Linked DNA regions of Callithrix jacchus. The protein of the gene in region 2 purifies or fractionates together with the protein of the main gene of each other region. This does not show direct contact. Links are inferred from orthologs where the notes say so. Each region holds a gene or a part of one and is shown on either strand. Other genes may lie near its edges. The genes, in order: SKP1 and FBXL15.

What was found.
Region 1: the proteins of FBXL15 (region 2) and SKP1 purify together in Homo sapiens (affinity purification with western blotting; 10 studies listed by BioGRID and IntAct, counting the BioPlex papers as one, with this or other methods). This does not show direct contact. The link is inferred for Callithrix jacchus from reciprocal best matches to the Homo sapiens genes FBXL15 and SKP1.

What each region holds. Positions count from the first base shown.
Region 1 is NC_133503.1:74,170,187-74,180,279, forward strand, and holds part of SKP1 (S-phase kinase-associated protein 1), read left to right. Parts: intron 1-5,540; coding exon 5,541-5,684; intron 5,685-8,397; coding exon 8,398-8,538; intron 8,539-9,519; coding exon 9,520-9,555; 3' UTR 9,556-9,581; exon of another isoform or gene 9,582-10,093. UniProt on the Homo sapiens protein: Essential component of the SCF (SKP1-CUL1-F-box protein) ubiquitin ligase complex, which mediates the ubiquitination of proteins involved in cell cycle progression, signal transduction and transcription.
Region 2 is NC_133513.1:95,411,037-95,421,493, reverse strand, and holds FBXL15 (F-box/LRR-repeat protein 15), read right to left. Parts: upstream 6,550-10,457; 5' UTR 6,524-6,549; coding exon 6,483-6,523; intron 6,310-6,482; coding exon 6,156-6,309; intron 5,873-6,155; coding exon 5,367-5,872; intron 4,835-5,366; coding exon 4,645-4,834; 3' UTR 4,505-4,644; downstream 1-4,504. Other genes in the region: CUEDC2 (CUE domain-containing protein 2), read left to right, coding at 2,458-2,531, 2,854-2,997, 3,088-3,149, 3,250-3,383, 3,468-3,650, 3,785-3,846, 3,926-3,986, 4,069-4,215. UniProt on the Homo sapiens protein: Substrate recognition component of a SCF (SKP1-CUL1-F-box protein) E3 ubiquitin-protein ligase complex which mediates the ubiquitination and subsequent proteasomal degradation of SMURF1, thereby acting as a positive regulator of the BMP signaling pathway.

The DNA.
Region 1 (10,093 bases), on a different chromosome or scaffold from region 2:
TCTTCTACGTTCAAGTAATTCTCTTGCCTCAGCCTCCTGAGTAGCTAGGATTACAGATGCCTACCACCATGCCCGGCTAATTCTTGTATTTTTAGTACAGACAGGTTTTCGCCATGTTGGACAGGCTGGTCTCCAACTCCTAACCTCAGGTTATCTGGCTGCCTTTCAGAGGTGCTGGGATTATTGGCATGAGCCACCATGCTCAGCCAACCTGAATTTTTTTGTTTTTGTTTTTGAGACAGGGTCTCACTCTGTTGCCCAGGCTGGAGCACAGTGGTGTGATATTAGGTCACTACAACCTCCGCCTTCCTGGTTCAGGCAGTTCTCTTGCCTCAGCCTCCCAAGTAGTTGGGATTACAGGCGCCTGCTGCCATGCCCAGCTGAGTTTTGTATTTTTGTAGAGATGGGGTTGCACCATGTTGGCCAGGCTGGTCTTGAACACCTGACCTCAGGCAATCTGCCTGCTTCAATCTCCCAAAGTGTGAATGTTTTTACGTGTATTACTGGCCATTTACATTTTCTGCATTGTCTGTTTTCATTTTCCTGTTTTCCTAATGGACTTAAAAAGTGGTAAAAATACATATGACGTTTATCATTTTCAGTTTTTAAAAGTGCACCATTCAGTGACATTAATTACACTCACAAGTGTTGTGCCGCTGTCACCACTAACCATCTTCAGAACTTTATCATCCCAAACTGAAACTCTGTATCATAACTCCGCATTTTTGTACACTCCCTTCCCCAAGTCCCCTAGATAATCATTATTCTACTTTGGGTGTCTGAATTTAGCTATTCTGGGCACATCATATATGGAATCATATAATATTAGTCATTTTGTATCTGGCTTATTTCACTTAGCATAATGTTTTCAAGGTTCATCCATGTTGTCTAATGGGCTTAAAAAATTGTGGTCAAATATACATAACAAAAGTTACTATCTTAACCATTTTCTCTTCTTTTTTTTTTGAGATGGAGTTTTGCTCTTATTGCCCAGGCTGGAGTGCAGTGGCATGATCTTGGCTCACCGAAACCTCCACCTCCTGGGTTCAAGTGATTCTCCTACCTCAGCCTCCTGAGTAGCTGTGGTTATAGGCGTGCACCACCATACCCAGCTAATTTTGTACTTTTAGTAGAGACTGGGTTTCTCCATGCTGGTCAGGCTGGTCTCCAACTCCTGACCTCAGGTGATCTGCCCACCTCAGCCTCCCAAAGTGCTAGTATTACAGGCGTGAGCCACCATGCCCAGCCATCATCTTAACCATTTTTTTTTTTTTTTTTTTTTTTTTTGAGAACAGAGTCTCACTCTGTTGCCCAGGCTGAAGTGCTGTGGCACAGTCTCAGTTCACTGCAGCCTCCACCTCCTGGGTTCAAGCAGTTCTCCTGCCTCAGTCTCCCAAGTAGCTGAGATTACAGGCATGTGCCACCATGCCCAGCAATTTTTTGTATTTTTTATAGAGTTGGGATTTCACCATGTTGGCCAGGATGGTCTGGATCTCTTGACCTTGTGATCTGCCTGCCTTGGCCTCCCAAAATGCTGGGATTACAGGCGTGAGCCACTGTGCCTGGCCATCTTAACCATTTTGAAGTGACAATTCAGTGGTATTATTTAATAGGCTTTTTTTTTTTTTTTTTTGGAGACAGTGTCACTCTGTTGCCCAGGCTGTAGTGCAGTGGTGCGATCTCACTGCAACTCCGCCTCCTGGGTTCAAAGGATTCTCCTGCCTCAGCCTCCTGAGTAGCTGGGATTACATGCGTGCGCCACCACACCTGGCTAATTTTTGTATTTTTAGTAGAGACAGGGTTCTGCCATGTTGGTCAGGCTGGTCTTGAACTTCTAACCTCATGATTTGTCCGCCTCGGCCTCCCAAGGTGTTCGGATTACAGGTGTGAGTCACCGTGCCCTGACTCTAATAGGCTTTTTATAAGAACTCTTTTAAAAAGTTTCTACCAGTTTGCTTATCTTAGTTAATTTATTTTATGATTTAGAGGGTTTATTTTATCTAGTTAGATCTCTTTTTTTTTTTTTTTTTTTTGAGACGGAGTTTCGCTGCTGTTACCCAGGCTGTGCAATGGCGCGATCTTGGCTCACCACAACCTCCGCCTCCTGGGTTCAAGCAATTCTCCTGCTTCAGCCTCCCTTGTAGCTGGAACTACAGGTGTGCGCCACCATGCCCAGCTAATTTTTTTGTATTTTTAGTAAGAGACGGTTTCACCATGTTGACCAGGAATGGTCTCGATCTCTTGACCTTGTGATCCACCTGCCTCAGCCTCCCAAAGTGCTGGGATTATAGGCATGAGCCACCGAGCCTGGCCAGATCTCATTCTTTATGATTTCTGAATATGCCTTACAAGTAACATTCTATTTTATACTAATGAAAAATGGTTCTAAAAGGATCTTTGCTTGTAGTCATTCAAATGCCAGGTACATTCAGATGCCATTCAAAAGCTGGGGGTATAGCAGTGAACCCAAAATCCTTATGGAGTTTATGATCTGAAGGGTTGGGGAAACATACAACATTAGAAATATATCAGATGGAAAAGCTATGGAGAATGAAGAAGGGAACGGGGAACATAAAAGGGTGAGTAGGTGAACAGTAAGCTATTTTAAAAATAAAGATAGGAGATTCCTTACTGAGAAGATGATCTTTAAACAAAGAAATGTGAATATGTGGCGGGGGAAGGATTCTTGGATTTGGGAGCAAGTGCAGTGACCTTAAGACAAGAGCATGCCCTGCCATTTCAGGAAAGACAAGGATTTTAGTGGAAGCTAGAGCACAGTGACCAAACAAGAAGGAAGTAGATAAAATCAGAGTTAAGGGGCTGGGTGATTTAGGGCCACTTGTGAGAATGAGAAGTGTTTGGTTTTTTGTTTTGTTTTGTGTTTTTAAGATAGGGTCTCACTCTGTTGCCTAGGCTGGAGTGCAGTGGTGCAGTCATGGATCATTGCAACTCTACCTCCCAGGTTCAGGTGATCCTCTCACTCCAGCCTCCTGAGTAGCTGGGACTACAGGCGCATGCCACCACACCTGGCTAATTTTTGTATTTTCTATAGAGGTGGAGTTTCACTGTGTAGCCCAGGCTGGTGTGGAACTCCTGGGCTCAAGTGATCTGTCTCCCTTGGCCTCCCAGATTGCTGGGATTATGGGTGTGAGCCACCACACCTAGCTAAGAAGTTTTTTTTTTTTTTTAAAGCCTGTTTGCATTGAATGTATATTGTATTTTGAATAATAATTACATGATGCCAAAACTGAAAGTGTACAGTAAAATTTCCCATCGTTGTCTCTTATCTGATGGGAAACTATTCCCCCCAGAAAGTAATGTGGCATTTTTTATTGTTTTTCTTTTTTACTGGCGCTACCCGTTGTGAACGTAGGCAGGCATTAGTTTCTTATATATCCTTTAAAGAGTTTTTTATTTTTAAATTTTATTATTTTTTTATTAGTAGTGGTAGTAATTTTTTTTTTTTTTTTTTGAGACAGAATCTCTTTCTCTCTTGCCCAGACTAGAGTGCAGTGGCGCAATCATGGTTTGCTTCAGCCTCAACTTCCTGGGCTCAAGTGATTCTTTTTTCTCAACCTTCTGAGTACCTGGGACCGTAGATGTACGCCACCGCCCCTGGCTCATTTTTGTATTTTTTAAAGAGACGGTTTCACCATGTTACCCAGGCTGGTCTCGAACTTCTGGGCTTAAGCATCTCTCCCACCTTACCCTCCCAAAGTGCTAGGATTACAGGTGTGAGCCTCCTCGATCAGCCTATTTATTATTATTATTATCATTTTTTTGTAGAGGTGGGGTCTTGCTACATTGCCTAGGCTAGTTTTGAACTTCTGGCACTCAGCAGTCCTCCTGCCTCAGCCTCCCAAATTTCTGGGATTACTGTGCCTAGCTTTAGAGTTTTTAAAATGCCCAGATAAGCAAATATTAATTGCCATTTGTTCCTTTTATATTATTGGAATACTGCTTAAGAAGTTTCATTAAAACCCTTTGCTGGTTAGGCATGGTGGCTCATAACCTGTAATCTCAACACTTTGGGAGGGCAAGGTGGGTGAATTGATTGAGTTTAGGAGTTTGAAACCAGCCTGAGCAACATGATGAAACCTTATCCCTACAAAAACAAAATAAAAAGATGAGCCAGGTGTGGTGGCATGCACCTGTAGCCCCAGCTACTCGGGAGGTTGAGGTGGGAGGATTGCTTAAGCACAGGAGGTCGAGTGAGCCATGATTACGGCACTGCATTCCAGCCTGGGTGACACAGTGAGTGACGCCTTGTCTCAAAAACAAATGAACAAAAAACCCTTGCTTGGCTTTGCCTTATTGAAACTGTTATTTCTTTCTTTTTTGTTTTTTTGTATCCTGGCAATATAATTTCTTGGCTCTACTATTTTCTCTCAGCATTGTTTATTTCTCCAACATTTTCCTATGAAAACGTTTTAACCATACAGAAAAATTGAAAGAATTACACAGTGGACACCTATACGGCCACTGCCTAGATTCTACAACTTAAAACACTTTAAGTATTGATTTTGGTCTTTATGTTGGTATGTAGGTAATCAGCTTCCTGAAACTTTATGAAGTCATTATTCTCTTATTAAGGGAACTTTGGGGCTTTTGCTGTTTTGTTGTTGCACCATATAGTCTTACAGATGTGTCTGGGGTATTTGGAATTTCCTGGTTACAGTATATGCACATATTCAGCTTTACTAAGGAGTGCTGGATTAGTATAAAATGGGTTATACCAATTTATACTCGAGTTCGTGTTTCCTTTCCACTATTGTCCAACAATTAGTATCAATTTCTTGATTTTTTTTCATTCTAGAGAAGTATCTGTAGTGTTAGTTTTGCTTCTAAGAAGTTGAGTGTTCCTTACATTTGACTACTCAGTTTTCATTTATTGCCTGTACATATCTTTAACCCATTTCTCTATAGTGACTTTTAAAATATTTTATATTCTCTAGGCTAATCATTGTTCTACGTTTTGGAGATATCCTCCAGTCATTGTCCTGTCTAACTTTTCTTTTTGCATAGAAACGTTTTTTTTTTTGAGATGGAATGCAGTGGTGCCGTCTTGGCTCACTGCAACCTCTGCCTCCTGGGTTCAAGTGATTCTCCTGCCTCAGCCTTCTGAATAACTGAAATTACACCGGCCACCATGCCCAGCTAATTTTTTGTATTTTTTTAGTAGAGACGGGTTCTACCATGTTGGCCAGGCTGGTCGCATCTATGACCTTGTGATTCGCCTGCCTCAGCCTCCCAAAGTGCTGGGATTATAGGCGTGAGCCACCACGCCCAGCTGCGTAGAAGCTTTTTAATGTGGTCAAGTATGGTACTCTGTCTACATGGCTTGCTTTTATCTAATAAGATCTTCTGCCTTCTAGGGTTATAAAGATTCTTCAAGCTTCATTTTTGCTTTTCAAGCTTGGCTGTTAATTGCTCAAGTCAACCTCTAGCTAGTTATTATCCCAACATAGAGATAAGTTGTCCCAGCAGTGGAATGAGTACCTTTGACAAAATGCCACTGAAGAATCAACTTGTTGTTGTAGGTCATTCAGTGGTGCACCCACCACAAGGATGACCCTCCTCCTCCTGAGGATGATGAGAACAAAGAAAAGCGAACAGATGATATTCCTGTTTGGGACCAAGAATTCCTGAAAGTTGACCAAGGAACACTTTTTGAACTCATTCTGGTAAGTTTTTTTGTTTTAATTTTTTAAATTTTTATTTATTTATTTATTATTATTTTTTTTGAGACGGAGTTTCGCTCTTGTTACCCAGACCGGAGTGCAATGGCACGATCTGGGCTCACCGCAACCTCCACCTCCTGGGTTCAAGCAGTTCTCCTGCCTCAGCCTCCGTAGTAGCTGGGACTATAGGCATGCACCACCATGCCCAGCTAATTTTTGTATTTTTAGTAGAGACGGGGTTTCACCTTGTTGGCCAGGAATGTCTCTATGTCTTGACCTTGTGATCCACCCACCTCGGCCTTCCAAAGTGCTGGGATTATAGGCGTGAGCCACCGCACCCGGCCTTGTTTTTTTTTGAGACGGAGTCTCGCTCTGTCGCCCAGGCTAGAGTGCAGTGGTGTGTTCTCGGCTCCCTGCAAACTCTGCCTCCCAGGTTTAAGCAGTTCACTCCACCTCCCAAGTAGCTGGGATTACAGGTGTGTGCCACCGTGCTTAGCTAATTTTTGTATTTTTAAGTAGAGATGGGGTTTCACCATGTTGGTCAGGCTGGTCTCAATCTCTTGACCTTGTGATCCACCTGCCTCAGCCTCCCAAAGTGCTGGGATTATGGGCATGAGCCACCATGCCTGGCATCTGGTAAGTTTTTTTTAACATATAAAATAGCTCTATTCCAGAGCCTTTAAATATTACTTCTTACAGATTTAAAATTTGCTAACTTCATTGACACTGAATTTTAATACTCTGAATTAAAATGTAATGCCATATTTAAATCCACATATCAGTAACACACTAAATGTAAATGGTCTAAACACAGTTAAAAGGCAGAAATTAACAGATCAAAAAAGCAAGATTAGCTATGCTGTCTGTAAGAAACCCACTTTAAGGAAATAGACACACCTAGGTTTAAAGAATGAAAGAAGGTAAACTATACTGACATGAATCAAAAGAAAGCTGGAGTGACTATGTTAAAATAGATGTGGAGGCAAAGAATATTACTAGGGTTAAAGGGGATTATTTTGTATCGTTAAGGGGATCCATTTTTTAAGAAGACATAACAATCATAAATGTTTATTTGCCTAGAAGAATTTCAAGAAGTGAAACAAAACCCAGAAGAACTCAAAGAAGTCCACAAATTTGCAGTCATAGAGCTTTCAGTACCTCTCTCAATTAATATAACAAGTAGACAGAAATCATGATAACTTGATATAACACTATTGACCAACTTAATGGACATTTATAAAACATTTTATCTATCTATATCTATATATTATGTATCTGTTTGAGACAGTCTCACTCATCACCCAGTCTGGAGTGCAGTGGTGCAGTCTCTGCTCACTGCAACCTCTCCTCCCGAGATAAGTGATTCTCCTGCCTCAGCCTCCTGAATAGCTGAGATTACAGCCACCTGCCACCATGCCCAGCTAATTTTTTGTATTTTTAGTAGAGACGGGCTTTCACCACATTGGTCAGGTTGGTCTCGAACTCCTGACTTCAGGTTATCCACCTGCCTTGGCCTCCCAAAGTGTTGGGATTACAGGTGTGAGCCACTGTGCCTGGCCTAAAACATTATATGTAACGATAGCAGAATACATATCCTTTTCAAGTGTATATTACCAAGATAGACCGTGTTCTGGGCCATAAAACAAGTCTCAGCCTGGAACAGTGGCTCACACCTGTAATCCCAATACTTTGGGAGGTCGAGGCATGTGGATCACTTGAGGCCAGCAGTTTGAGACCAGCCTGGTCAATATGATGAAACCCCTGAATTAGCTGGGTGTGGTGTCACACACCTATAATTCCAGCTACTTGGGAAACTGAGGCAGGAGAATCGCTTGAACCTGGGAGGCAGACGTTGCAGTGAGCCGAGATTGCACCACTGAACTCCAGCCGGGTGACAGAGTGAGACGGTGTCTCAAAAAGAAAAATCTCTATCATAAAAGGATTTACGCCATACAAAGTATGTTCTCTGCAATGGAACTAGAAATCACAAACAGAAAGGTAACTGGAAAAATCTGCAGCTTCTTTAAAACTAACACATTTGCAAATAACCTGTAAGTCAAAGAAGAAATAAAAAGAATTTGTATTTTGAGCTGAATAGAAATAAAACACATGAAAAATCTGTGAGATGCAGCAAAAGAAATACTTAGAGGGAAATTGATAGCATGAAATACCTATATTATTAGAAAAGAAAAGTTTCAAATCAGTGATCTAAGCTTCCACCTTAAGAAACTAGTAAAAGATGAAATTAAATACAAAGCAAACAGAAGAATTAGAATATATAAGGGCAGAAATCAGTGAAATAGAAAATAGGTAATAAAGTCAGTGAAACCAAAACCTGTTTTTAAAAATCAGATCACTAAATATAATGCTATAACTGCTTATTGAACTCTTTAAGTGTGGACAAATATTTTTGTCAAGATCTGATGTGGTATTTGTCAAGATCTGATGTGTGTCTGTACACACATACACAACAGTAGTGGCCATTAACATTTGAGCTAATACAGTTTGGTTAAGGAAGCAGAAGGATTCAGCATCATAGAGATGTAACAAAGGTCACATAAAAGTCTTTCATGGAGGAACTTATGAGTGATTTATTCTTCTCCCTTTAATAAAATTATCATTTTAAGCTTTATTAGACATGGAGTTTCAATCATTAACTTTAGATTTAGTTTAAAACATCAAGTATACTTTAAGGAAAACAACTATCTCTTTACAGGCTGCAAACTACTTAGACATCAAAGGTTTGCTTGATGTTACATGCAAGACTGTTGCCAATATGATCAAGGGGAAAACTCCTGAGGAGATTCGCAAGACCTTCAATATCAAAAATGACTTTACTGAAGAGGAGGAAGCCCAGGTAGGTGGCACACAGTTTTGTCTCTGATCGCATGCTCTTAAAAAGGGACTAAAGCCTGTAATACACCAGAAAAGAGGTGACTGTATCAAGTAGTCTTGATACTTGAGGGATACTAGGTAGTTTCTGTGTCTTAAACATACTCTTACTGTACTGTCTGTATGAGTCTAAACACTTACATGATACTGCATTTTTTTTTTTGAGATGGAGTTTTGCTCTTATTACCCAGGCTGAAGTGCAATGGCGCGATCTCGGCTTACCGCAACCTCCGCCTCATAGGTTCAGACAATTCTCCTGCCTCAGCCTCCTGAGTAGCTGGGATTACAGGCTCGTGCGACCATGCCCAGCTAATTTTTGTATTTGTAGTAGAGACAGGGTTTCACCATGTTGACCAGGATGGTCTCCATCTCTTGACCTCGTGATACACCCACCTCGGCCTCCCAAACTGCTGGGATTACAGGCGTGAGTCACTGCGCCCGGCCGATACTGCATTTTTAAGCATAAGAACAATTAGTTTTCAACAAGAGGAGCTCTTTCTTGTAAATGTGTTAACAGTTACTAGTTCTGGCATCTGCAGCTTTTTGTATAGACCATACATATCTGACTTCAGAAAAGCAGGCCCTAGAGAAGTGTATGCTAGGGCACTTGAGAGCAACTTAATGAGGGGAGGAAATGAAAAAATAGATCAGAATGATTTTGTTGACATGACTACAGACTGAAATTGTGTCAGTTAACTAACTGAATTTGCTCTGTCAACTTTAGTAAACTGCCCATTGTCTTTATTTTGTTCAGAATTTCAGCAGGGCAGAATAAAAACCTTGGGAGGCAAAAAAAGGAAATCCAGAAGTGTAGTCTCAGTCTGGTGTTCTGATTTTCCATCTATTCTACTGACTCACTGGCTATCGATGAATCAGTAGGTAGTATATTTAAGTCTTAGGAAACACTACTAAAGTTAAGGTACTTCCTTATATCCATCTCTTTTAGGTACGCAAAGAGAACCAGTGGTGTGAAGAGAAGTGAAATGTTGTGCCTGACACTGTAACACTGTAAGGATCGTTCCAAGTACTAGTTGCACTGCTCTGTTTATAATTGTTAATATTAGACAAACAGTAGACAAATGCAGCAGTAAGTAAATTGTATTAGCAGAATATTGTCCTCATTGCATGTGTAGTTTGAGTACAGATTCCAAATCTATGGCTGAGTTTCTTCTAATATGATTGAAAGTTTCTTTTTTCTTTGCTCTGAATAAAACTGAACTGTGGGTTCTCTATAAGTGGCATTTTGGGCTTTCCCTCTTTTTTGTAAAGCAGTGTCTGCCTAGTTTATTGTCCAGTTAACTTTAGTGACCTTTTAAAAGTTGGCATTGTAAATAAAACAACCTGCAAAAAAGTTATCTGGAATAGAATTAACAAAATATTATCTTTATTCATGAGTTGGAAACTGCAAAAGGCTTCTTGAAGTAAATGTTCTGAGTGGAGTTACTAGGATGTCTTTCAGCCTCCTGCAGGCAAGGAGTACCACCATATTGATTAGCCTGTATTTAGCAGGGCTCCTCCCT
Region 2 (10,457 bases):
AGATTTATGGCAGGAACAGCCAGTTGCCTGGACATAGATTTACTGAGGAAGGCCTTGGAGGAATAAAACACTTGAGAGAATGTCAGTTTGGGACATGCTAAGCATGAGATGCCTGTAAAACATCCACGTGGCGGTGTTAGGGAGGTAGATGTCCAAGTTTATAGCTCAGAGGAGACTGGACTAGAGGACTGGACATTTGGGAATTGATGATATGGTGTTGATACATAAAGAGGTGGGACCAGATGAGATCTTCCAGAGAAAACAAGTGCTGCAGTGAGGAGGAGCGGGAGCCTTGCACGTGAGGAACTCTCACATTTAGAGGGCGACAGAGAAGGGGACAGAGAAAGGGCCTTTGAAGAAACGGCCAGAGAGATAGAAGGATACTAGGAGAGAATGTCTCAGAAACCAAATTTGGTGCTGCTGAAAGGGCACCAAAAAGGTGAAACCATGAGAAATTGCCCTCTCTTTTTTTGTAGATCAAAACTAGGCAAAAGGGCCGGGTGTGGTGGCTCATACCTGTAATCCCAGCACTTTGGGAGGCTGAGGTAGATGGATCACGAGGTTAGGAGTTCAAGACGAGCCTGGCCAAGATGGTGAAACCCCATCTCTACTAAAAATACAAGAACTAGCCAGGTGTGGCAGCAGGCACTTGTAATCCCAGCTACTTCGGAGGCTGAGGCAGAGAGTTGCTTGAACCTGGGAGGCAGAGTTTGCAGTGAGCTAAGATTGCGCCACTGCACTGCAGCGTGGGCAACAGAGTGAGACTCCATCTCAAAAAAAAAGACAAAATTGGCAAGCTCATATGGTTCAACTTAATTAGACCAAAACCTGGAAATTTTGGTCTAAGAAATTTTGGGGCCAGGCACAGTGACTCACTCCTGTAATCGCAGCACTTTGGGAGGCCAACATGGGTAGATTGCTTTGAGCCCAGGAGTTTGAGACCAGTTTGGGTCTCGAACCTGGAGCTCAAAACATGACAAACCCACATCTCTACTAAAAATACAAAAAAAAAGAAAAAAAAAAAGAAAAACTAGCAGGGCATGGTGGTACAGGTCTGTAGTCCCAGCTATTCCAGAAGCTAAGGCAGAAGGATGGCTTGAGCTGGGGAGGTGGAGGTTGCAGTGAGCTCATATCATGCCACTGCATTCCAGCCTGGGTGGCAGAGCCAGACCCTGTCTCAAAAAGAAATTTTGGTGGAGATATTAGAGAAGCCAGACTTGAGAAAGGGAGAAGTAGATAGAATTCGGATAAGAAGGCAGTAGAACTGACGGACTTGGTGGTTGACTGGGTGCAGCAGGTAGGGGTGAAAAAGAGCAAAATCAAGGGCATGCTCCCAAACAGACCTTTGGGAGTCAAAAGTACGTAGATGGGGATGGAACATGTCAACAAGTATGTATTGAGCACCCACCTAGTGTGGGCATTTTTCTAGGTGCTAGGGCATGAACAAGACAGAGTGTCCCCCTCCTCCCCACCTTGCTTTGGAGCTTCCATTTTATGGGGCAGACAGACAATAGGCAAATAAGCACAAATAATGCTAACGGTGCTATGTAGGGTTAGGGGCATCGATAAGTCTTCTTTGCTGTAGGTTAGTCAGGGAAGGGCTCTCTGATGTAACATTTGAGTGGAGCTCTGAGGAGTGACTGGACAAGCCATGGATGTCTGCAGAACACAAAATGCCTGTCCTGGGTAGGTGCACAATACATACTTGTTGACATGTTCCATCCCATCTACATCATTTTGACTCCCAAAAGTCTGTTTGGGAGTCAGGAGCATGTGGGTAGAGACAGGAGGAAGCTCTGCAAGTCTGAGGGACAGCAAGGTGGCGCAGGAGCAAGCCAGCCAGGAAGGACTGGGGAGGCTGGAGAGCCTGGCCAGAGGAGGATGGAAAGTGCTCTGCAGATAGCCCCAGGCTGCAGGAAGGGCAGGAACTGGGGAGAGGAGAGAATCCATAAAAGGCTTCCCCTTCTATCTGGGCCCCAGAGCCAGAAAAGCCCCTTTGTGCAGAGGGTGGGTGGGCTGTTCTGGGTGGGGGAAGGGCTGTGCTTGGTCATGAGGCTGCTCCTTGAGGGGCTGGACAATGGGGCTCCTTGTGGTTGGAGGCTAAGGGGCCCCCTCACTTATGGGATTTCTAAGCCAGGAGGCATGTGACCTCAAGACCTTGCCAGAAGGTCTGGGGCTGCTGCTAGGGAATGGGGTAGGGGGATGGGGAGAGGTGGGGGGCACTCCTCTAGAGGCTGTCTCCAGAGACAGTACCCTGTCCTGTCTCAGGCTGGAGGAGGTAAGAGATGGGCGGGGGAGGGGGCATGGTTCTGGGAGAACAGAGAGGGCAGCATCAACAGATGGTTCCACAGCAGGCCAGGAGGGAGGAGCTGCTGCCCCCAGGTCCAGTGGGTGAGTGCAGACGGAAGAGGGCCTGGCCATCCTGTCTGTCTGTGTCCCTTCAGAAGAGGAGAGAGCATGGAGCTGGAGAGGATCGTCAGTGCAGCCCTCCTTTCCTTTGTCCAGACGTACCTCCCGGAGGCCGACCTCAGGTAGAGACAGCTCCCTGGGAAGGTTCACGTCAGTGCCACAGCTGGAGCTGCCTGGCAGTGCTATGAGTCCTGGCTGATGGAAAGATGGTGGGAGGGCTGATTACAATTTGCTAAGAGGCCTTCCTGCTCATCCTGTCCCTGTTACCTTTGTTGGGCAGAGGGGAAACCATAGCTCTGAGAGAGGGGGTTACACTTTTTGGCCTCAAGGATTAAGGTCTAGCTCATGAACCCCATGAAGCTGAAGGCTGGAGTTTCAGGATAGGTGGGGATGCTGGAGGTATCCAGTGTCCTACCCAGGGCTTGTCCTGTCCCCTTCCTGCAGTGGTTTGGATGAGGTCATCTTCTCCTATGTGCTCGGGGTCCTGGAGGACCTGGGCCCCTCAGGCCCATCAGAGGAGAACTTCGATATGGAGGCCTTCACTGAGATGATGGAGGCCTATGTGCCTGGCTTTGCCCACATCCCCAGGTAGGTTCTGGCTGGGGCCAGGAGGAGGAAGGGGCTGGCTGATTATGGGGTGGGTAGAGTTGTCTTCTCTCACTACCCTTATGTTTTCAGGGGCACAATAGGGGACATGATGCAGAAGCTCTCAGGGCAGCTGAGCGATGCTAGGAACAAAGGTGAGTCTGAGGCTGTAGGCACCTGGGTGATTCATGACCCCTCCCAATTCCCTACTCCCCAGAGCGCTGGCAAACCTGATGCTCTCTCTGCCTCTTTAAGAGAACCTGCAACCGCAGAGCTCTGGTGTCCAAGGTCAGGTGCCCATCTCCCCAGAGCCTCTGCAGCGGCCGGAAATGCTCAAAGAGGAGACCAGGTCTTCTGCTGCTGCTGCTGCTGGGGACACCCAAGATGAGGTACTGGTAGAGGAGGGTAGCAATGAGGGACTCAGGGGCCTGGAAAGGGGGAGTATTGCCTTTTGTTAATGCTTGTACCCTTAGGCAACTGGTGCTGAGGAGGAGCTTCTGCCAGGGGTGGATGTACTCCTGGAGGTGTTCCCTACCTGTTCGGTGGAACAGGCCCACTGGGTGCTGGCCAAAGCTCGGGGGGACTTGGAAGAAGCTGTGCAGATGCTGGTAGAGGGGAAGGAGGAGGGGCCTGCAGCCTGGGATGGCTCCAACCAGGTATCTTCTCCCAGCACCCCCCACCATGTAGCCTCGGCTACATTCCACCTCGGTGTTAAGCCCCGACCCCTACCTATCCCTGTCTGTTTCCCCTGCTGGTGCCCTTGGGCAGACCAGGCCTCCCCTCTCTGCAGGACCTGCCTAGACGCCTCAGAGGCCCCCAAAAGGATGAGCTGAAGTCCTTCATCCTGCAGAAGTGAGTCTGGGTTGGGCTGGGCTGTCCCTAGAGGGTCTTCCCAGGGTGACAAGAGCTTCATCCAGCCAGTTTTTGGCAGGTACATGATGGTGGATAGTGCAGAGGATCAGAAGATTCACCGGCCCATGGCTCCCAAGGAGGTGAGAGTTGGGGTTACTGGGGATGTGGAATGGGTGGGACTGGCTCCTGGCTTCTGCCACTCACTGCCTGATTTCCTGACAGGCCCCCAAGAAGCTGATCCGATACATCGACAACCAGATAGTCAGCACCAAAGGGGAGCGATTCAAAGATGTGCGGAACCCTGAGGCTGAGGAGATGAAGGCCACGTACATCAACCTCAAGCCGGCCAGAAAGTACCGCTTCCATTAAGGCACTTGCTGGACTCTGCCCCGGCCTTCTAGGCTTAGATCCCAGAGGGATGCAGGAGCCCTACAGCCCTACACATAGGCCCCCTAACTCCTGTCCCCATTCTCTACTTCTTTGCTCCATAGTGTTAACCTACTCGGAGCTGCCTCCATGGGCTCAGTAAAGGTGGCCCAAGGAAGGTGTGAGTGCATTCTGGTCATTTCTGCCTCAAGACTGTCTGACACTAGGCCTATCTGACCTTCCCTCCCAAACCTTGAATCCTCTATCTTCGACAGGGCAGCACCAGGCAAAAGGGGGTGAAAAGCTCTTTATTTGAAGCTCCAGGGTGGGGCAGGGCACTGGCCTCTCACCAGAGGACCCCACGGTTCGGTTTCCCTACCGCTCAGTGTCAGGCCCCAGCCACACAGTCCAGCTGTGCTCCGATTGGCAGAGTCAGACCTGCAGGTTGACAAAAGGTGCGAAGCCCGCCATATCCTGCAGCAGCACCAAGGCCTGGTGCAGCGGCGGCTCCACGTCGATGTCCACGCCGCGTTTCCGCAAGCGGCTCAGGCTGGACTCGGCCACATGGTGGCAGTGCCGCACTCGCAGCGAGCGCAGCGCCGGGCAATACTCGGCCAGTGTCCTGAGGGAGGAGCAGGATGAGGCTAGCGGCAAGAGGCCACCACACCCTTGGTGGGGCAGGGTGGGGGCCCGGGCTCACTCAGCCTCGGACTAGCTCCGGCAAAATCCCGGTCTCCGTCCAGTTCGGGGCAGGGGCATACTTTTTCCGTCCCACACAAGGGAGGCGCCTGGATTGGATTCAAGGGAGGCGGAGACTTCCTGTCTCATTTAAGGGGGGAACCTGTCCCTCAGCTCCGCCTAGAATTGCAAGGTTTCCCCCTCGTTGAAGAAAAGCCAGAAGTCGACTTTCTATGTGAAATCTCCCAATGTGTAAATACTGGTTCAAAAAGTTTTTAAACTATGGGCTCTCTGGCCTAAGGGGGTCCGGAAGGCAATCCTAGAGGATTTTTCTGTTCAGAATGGGGGTTCTGTGGTTGGCAGGAAAATTCAGAACCCTCAGTCCGTCCTTTTAGCAACTACAGCCCGCACCATACCTTCAGAGGCTAAGTGAGACTGCCTTCCTCCCACCCTCCCGCCCCACCAGGCCCAGGCACCTGACACCGTCGCTTCCGACGCGGAGGCAGCCGGTGAGGTCAAGGTGCTGGAGTTCTGGGCAGTTCCGAGCCAACTCTTGAACCGCGGTGTCCCCCACGTTGGCGTTGACGGCCAGCGAGAGGCTGCGGAGGCCAGCGCCGCGCCTCTGCGCTAGGTACACGATGGCCTCGTCCTTGAGCTGGCGGCAGGCGGTGAGGTCCAGCTCCTCCAGGGCCGGGCAGCGGTCGGCGAGGCCGCGCAGCGCCAGCCCGTCCACCCAGTCACAGTGCGCGAGCGACAGGCGCTGCAGGCGTGGGCAGCCCTCGGCCAGCGCCCCAAGCGCCCGGCGACTCAGTTGCCCGCAGCCGGCCAGCGCCACACTCCGCAGCTGCGGGTTCCGCGCTAGCACCGGCACCAGATCCTCGTCTGACAGCCATTCGTGACACGGCGCTAGCGCCAGCTCCTGCAGCCCCTCGGCGTCCCGCAGCAGCCGGGCCAATGCGGCCCGTGGGATCTGCGGACCCACCTGCGGGCGAGGAGGCACCCCAACTCTCAGCCCGTTCCGCACTCCTCAGCCGCCTATGCGCCCGTTCTTTCCTGGCAGCCGCCTGTTCTCCCAGGGGAGACCCCCACATTCCCTGAGTCGCTACCCAGTATTCGCCCTTTGGGAGTACTCCCTACTGCGTGGATCCCATCCCGGGCAGCTCCGGTGGCCTAAGGGGGTCAGGAAGGGCAAACAGTGGGGCTGGGGGCTGGCCTAGAGGCGGGGCGGAACTCAGGCAGGGGCGGAGCTTCAGCCCCAGGCTCACCTGCGCGGCGTCGAAGCGACGCAGCCCGGCCAGGTGAAGCTGTACCAGTGCCCGGAAGGCCCGGCTAACGCGCTGCAGCCGGAGCAGCTGGCGCAGCGGTACCCGGTTCAGGACGTGAGGGAGCAGCACGTCTTCCCAGGGCAGGTCCAGGAGCCTGCGAGTAAAGGGGCGTTGGCACTGGCATCCCGGGGCCACTATTACCTGCGAGTCCGCCTCCGTTATGCCCCTACGCCCAAGCTCCCAAGAGCGGCCCCCGGCCCCAGCCCCGGCTCGGCTCCCTTCTCTCAGGTTCCTCTTTCCTCTTTCCGTCCCTCCGGTGCTCGGTACCTGACGGCTCCGGGCTCTTGCTCCCCTCCGGACGGCTCCATCGGTGGCTCCTTCGGCTGTCTATTGCGCGTGCGCAGTACGCTTTCCTCGCTTTGGCCTTGGAGTGGCCGAGCCAAACCCGCCTCCTTGGCCTGTAGAGACAGACCGATTCAATCGAGTACCGTCTCACCGAGGATCCGATCTGAAAGCTTTTCGGATGGAAGCCGAAACGTAGGCGGAACAGACCGGTGGTGTAACATTAGACCTCGCCTTCTCGGCTACAGGGCTTCAGGCCCGAAGCTGGAGAAAGCGGTGGGCATCAGAGACTGACTGGCTTCTGCTGTCCTCTTGGGCCAGTGGCCGCCTCTGAGCGAAGTGGTGACGGGAGGAGGAGCAGGCAAGGCCAAAAGCGGAGGGGGCGGAGCCAGGACTCCTAGGTTACCGACCTCGCCTCTGTCCTCTAGTCGCATTTAGCGACTTTGAAAAACGGGGAGAAATTATCCAGGCTCTTACTGTCTGCCACTTAGCAGGTGTTCAATCAGTAATTGTTGAAATAATGAATGAATGGGCGAGGCTATAATTTTTCTTTCATCAAGTAAACCTGCTCAAACTTCCCATTCCTGGTTAATTGTGAAGAGCTATCCAGCCTCTTCCACTTCGATTTAGTTTGGGCTGCGTTTCCGCCGCGGGAGAGAGACGTAGGGGGCGCGAAGAAGGAATTTTATTTCCAACTGGGTCCCTTTTATTTCCTCCAAAGGTCCAGAGTCCTGAGAAGAATGAGAGCTCAGCTCAGCCCTCCAGAGGTTGTGCTTCTTGGCTGGCCTTGGGTTTAGTCGTAGTGTCTGGGGCTGGGTCCGCCTTGGGGCAGTGACGCCCCAGACCTCTGAACTCAGCTTCTGGGCTGCCTCTCACCGCGTCCCCACGTCTCAATCCCAGGCTCCGCTATGAGAACCCCAGGAATAGTGCCTTCCCCCATCATCCACGGGATGGGTGTGAGGGAATGTGAAGGATGCGAGGGCCATTGCACCGCTGACGATCTGGCGCTACTTCGGTGCAGCCGATTCAGTGGTTCATCACAACGAAAACTGCTTCTTGTCTGTTATTTCGTCATTGCTTCGGGCACCTCTGAAAGGTGGACAGGTCTGTGTTATCACTCCATTTTAAAGATGGGGGCACCGAGGCCCTGGAGAGGAAACGCCTTGTCCGGAATCCAGCCAGACGGGAATAGAGAATCCAGACATCTGGTTTTCCCAGAATTCCACGTTCCCCCAACCCGCAAGGCAGCGAGAAGGGAGAAGCTAGCAGCGGGGAAGGACCAAAAGGGGGTCAAGTTAGGTGAGGGCTTGCTACCTCTTCCTCAGCCTGCTTGGGGAGGGGACAACTGGGAGGACAGACCCCTGCAAAGATCGAGCCACGTGAGAGCACGCATCGCCTCCGGCCGCGCGCCTCGTCCCCCTCCCCTCTTTGTTCGCACCTCTGCGCCTGCGCAGTTCGACAAATCTGGCGCTGTCCCCTTCAGCACCACGCGGAGTCCGCGCCGCCCCACCCCGCGGTGAGCCCCGCGCGCCCCCGCCTCTCACGTCCTCGCGCCCCCTGACTGCCCTAACAGACCCCTTCTTCCTTCCGAGGTCACCATCTGCCCGCCCTGGCCCTCCTAAGGAGAGTAGTTGCCATAGTAACTCGAGCGGCGCTTTCTTAAAATAGCAGGGCCCCCTTCTACCCTGGCCAAGGGCACAAGGGTTGCCTGTCCCTCACGTATTCCAGTCCCGAGGTCATCCCATCTAACCTCTTACACCTTGGCAAGGGTGACGACACCTAACTCAGGCAGCAAGGAAGTTCTTCCTGAAGTCTGATTTAACATTCCCCTGCTGCATCCCGGGAGGGTGGTTAGGGTTGGGTCTCCTGAGTCCGAGACTCAAAACCCCTGGCGGGTTCAAGAGGGTGTTCCCTAGATCTCCTTTCCATAGTTGATGGTCTCCTGGATTTAGGGGGCGGGTCCAGTCTACACCCATACCGTGTGCTTGGTGCGGCCGCGTGCTCGTGGGGGCGGGAGCGCGTGTGGCATGTAACAGGTCATGTGGCAGCCTCCTAGGGACACGCGTGGGGTCTGGGGCGGGACACGCGTGTACAGCCGGGCCTTACGTGTGGCTCGAGGGGCGGTGGGCGAGAGAGACGTGGACACAAGTGGGGTGGGGCACGTGAGGGTCTGGGGAATAGAAGCAAGGGTTTCATGCGTCCTCCTCCTGGTCTGGGGTGGGTCTTAGGTTGGCGGGAGAGCCCAGCAGGGACCTAGCGACAAGGGGGTGCTGGCAGCCTCCAGGGCTCCAGGCCCTGGGAGAGGGCGGGGGCTGGGGGGGGATTAGCGTTGCCTGTGCGGTGCGTAGGGGGTAGGGGGAGGGACTGAGAGGCGGGCGGGCCTGGAGCAAGCGGGAGCCGCGCTTCCTTCACAGCTGAGCTGGGCCCAGCCTCTCCTCTGTCTCTCCTCGGTCTCAGCTCTGGGCGAGCAGCGGTGAGTACTGAGGTGGCGTTGAGTTGGGGCTGCACTGGGTATGCGCTGGGACCCCATTGAGCTTCCAGAACCTGCCTGGCAGGGTTGCTGTTCCTGACCTCTGCCCCTCCCCTGCACTGCCACCAGAGGCCCCCTTACCCGGTTATGGTCTCTCTTGGCCCGGACAGGATCCGTCATACCCCTGGGGGACGAGGGAAATGAGGAATATGGTGCAGGTTCCCCTCAAGAGACCCCAGTGACTAGTGGGGGGAGGGGAGGGTGTGTGTCCCTGCTTGAGTGTGTAAATGTACATCTGTATGTGTATGTGACTGTGAGTATTAGGTATCTGAGTGTCTGATACACCTGGACCTCTGTGTGCACTGGAGGGTAACAGCCTATATATATATATTTGGGTACCTCTTTGTGTGTTACTGTTTGATGATGGTGTGTGTGTAAAACAAGCATGTGCCTTTCCATTACACACATATTTGTTATGACTATGAGAGTGCATGAGGGTGTGTCTTTGAGCAGTGTGTGTGTCTGTGTCTGTGTATGCCAGAGGGTGTTACCTATGAATGTGTTTGACTGTGTACTGATATAGTTGTCCTTATGTATGTGTGTGTGCATGTGTGTGTATATGTGTGTGCCTGTCTGTACCTGTATGGAGAAAAGAATGTCCCTGACTGGGTGTGGTGGCTCACGCCTGTAATCCCAACACTTTGGGAGGCCGTGGCGAGGGGATCCCCTGAGGTCAAGAGTTTGAAACCAGCCTGGACAACAAGGTGAAATTCCATCTCTACCAAAAATATAAAAATTAGCCAGGTATGGTGGCAGGTACCTGTAATCCCAGCTATTCAGGAGGCTGAGGCAGGATAATCACTTCAACCTGGGAGGTGGAGGTTACAGTAAGCTAAGAGCACCATTGCACTCCAGCCTGGGCAGCGGGGGCGAAACTCCACCTCAAAAACAAACAAAAAGAATGTCCCTTTCCCATTCTGTATACATATATCAGGGGTAGGAGCCTTTGCTCAGGCCTTTCTCCCTACCTCCATGCTGTGCCTCTTAGCCCTTCAGCATCCCTATATAACCCCTGGTCTTCTTCCCTCTCCTTCCAGAAGACCTGAGTTTCCCTTCCCTGAGTGAGGGGACTCCATAAGAAAGACTATAGGGGTCACAGGACTGTGTGATGGTGACAGTTGACTGACACCCTTGCTCCAGAGGGTGGGGTACCAACTTCCCCATACCAGCAGTAGCCCCAAAGTACCAGTAGCCCACTCAACTTCTGAAGTTGCTTCCTCTTTCCTCCCAGGGTGATGCTCAGGGCCCCAGGCAGAAGGAAAGGAGCCAGGGGCCCACCGGGTGTATAACTCTTTTCTCTTCAGGCCTCTATGGAAGTAGCCCCCAGGCGTGGGATCATTGATCTCATATTCCCAGGGTGAGCTAGGTCCCTGGTACTCAGAGTCTGCAGCCAACTTTCCCTTCCCTATCTCTGCTGTCCTGTCCATCTA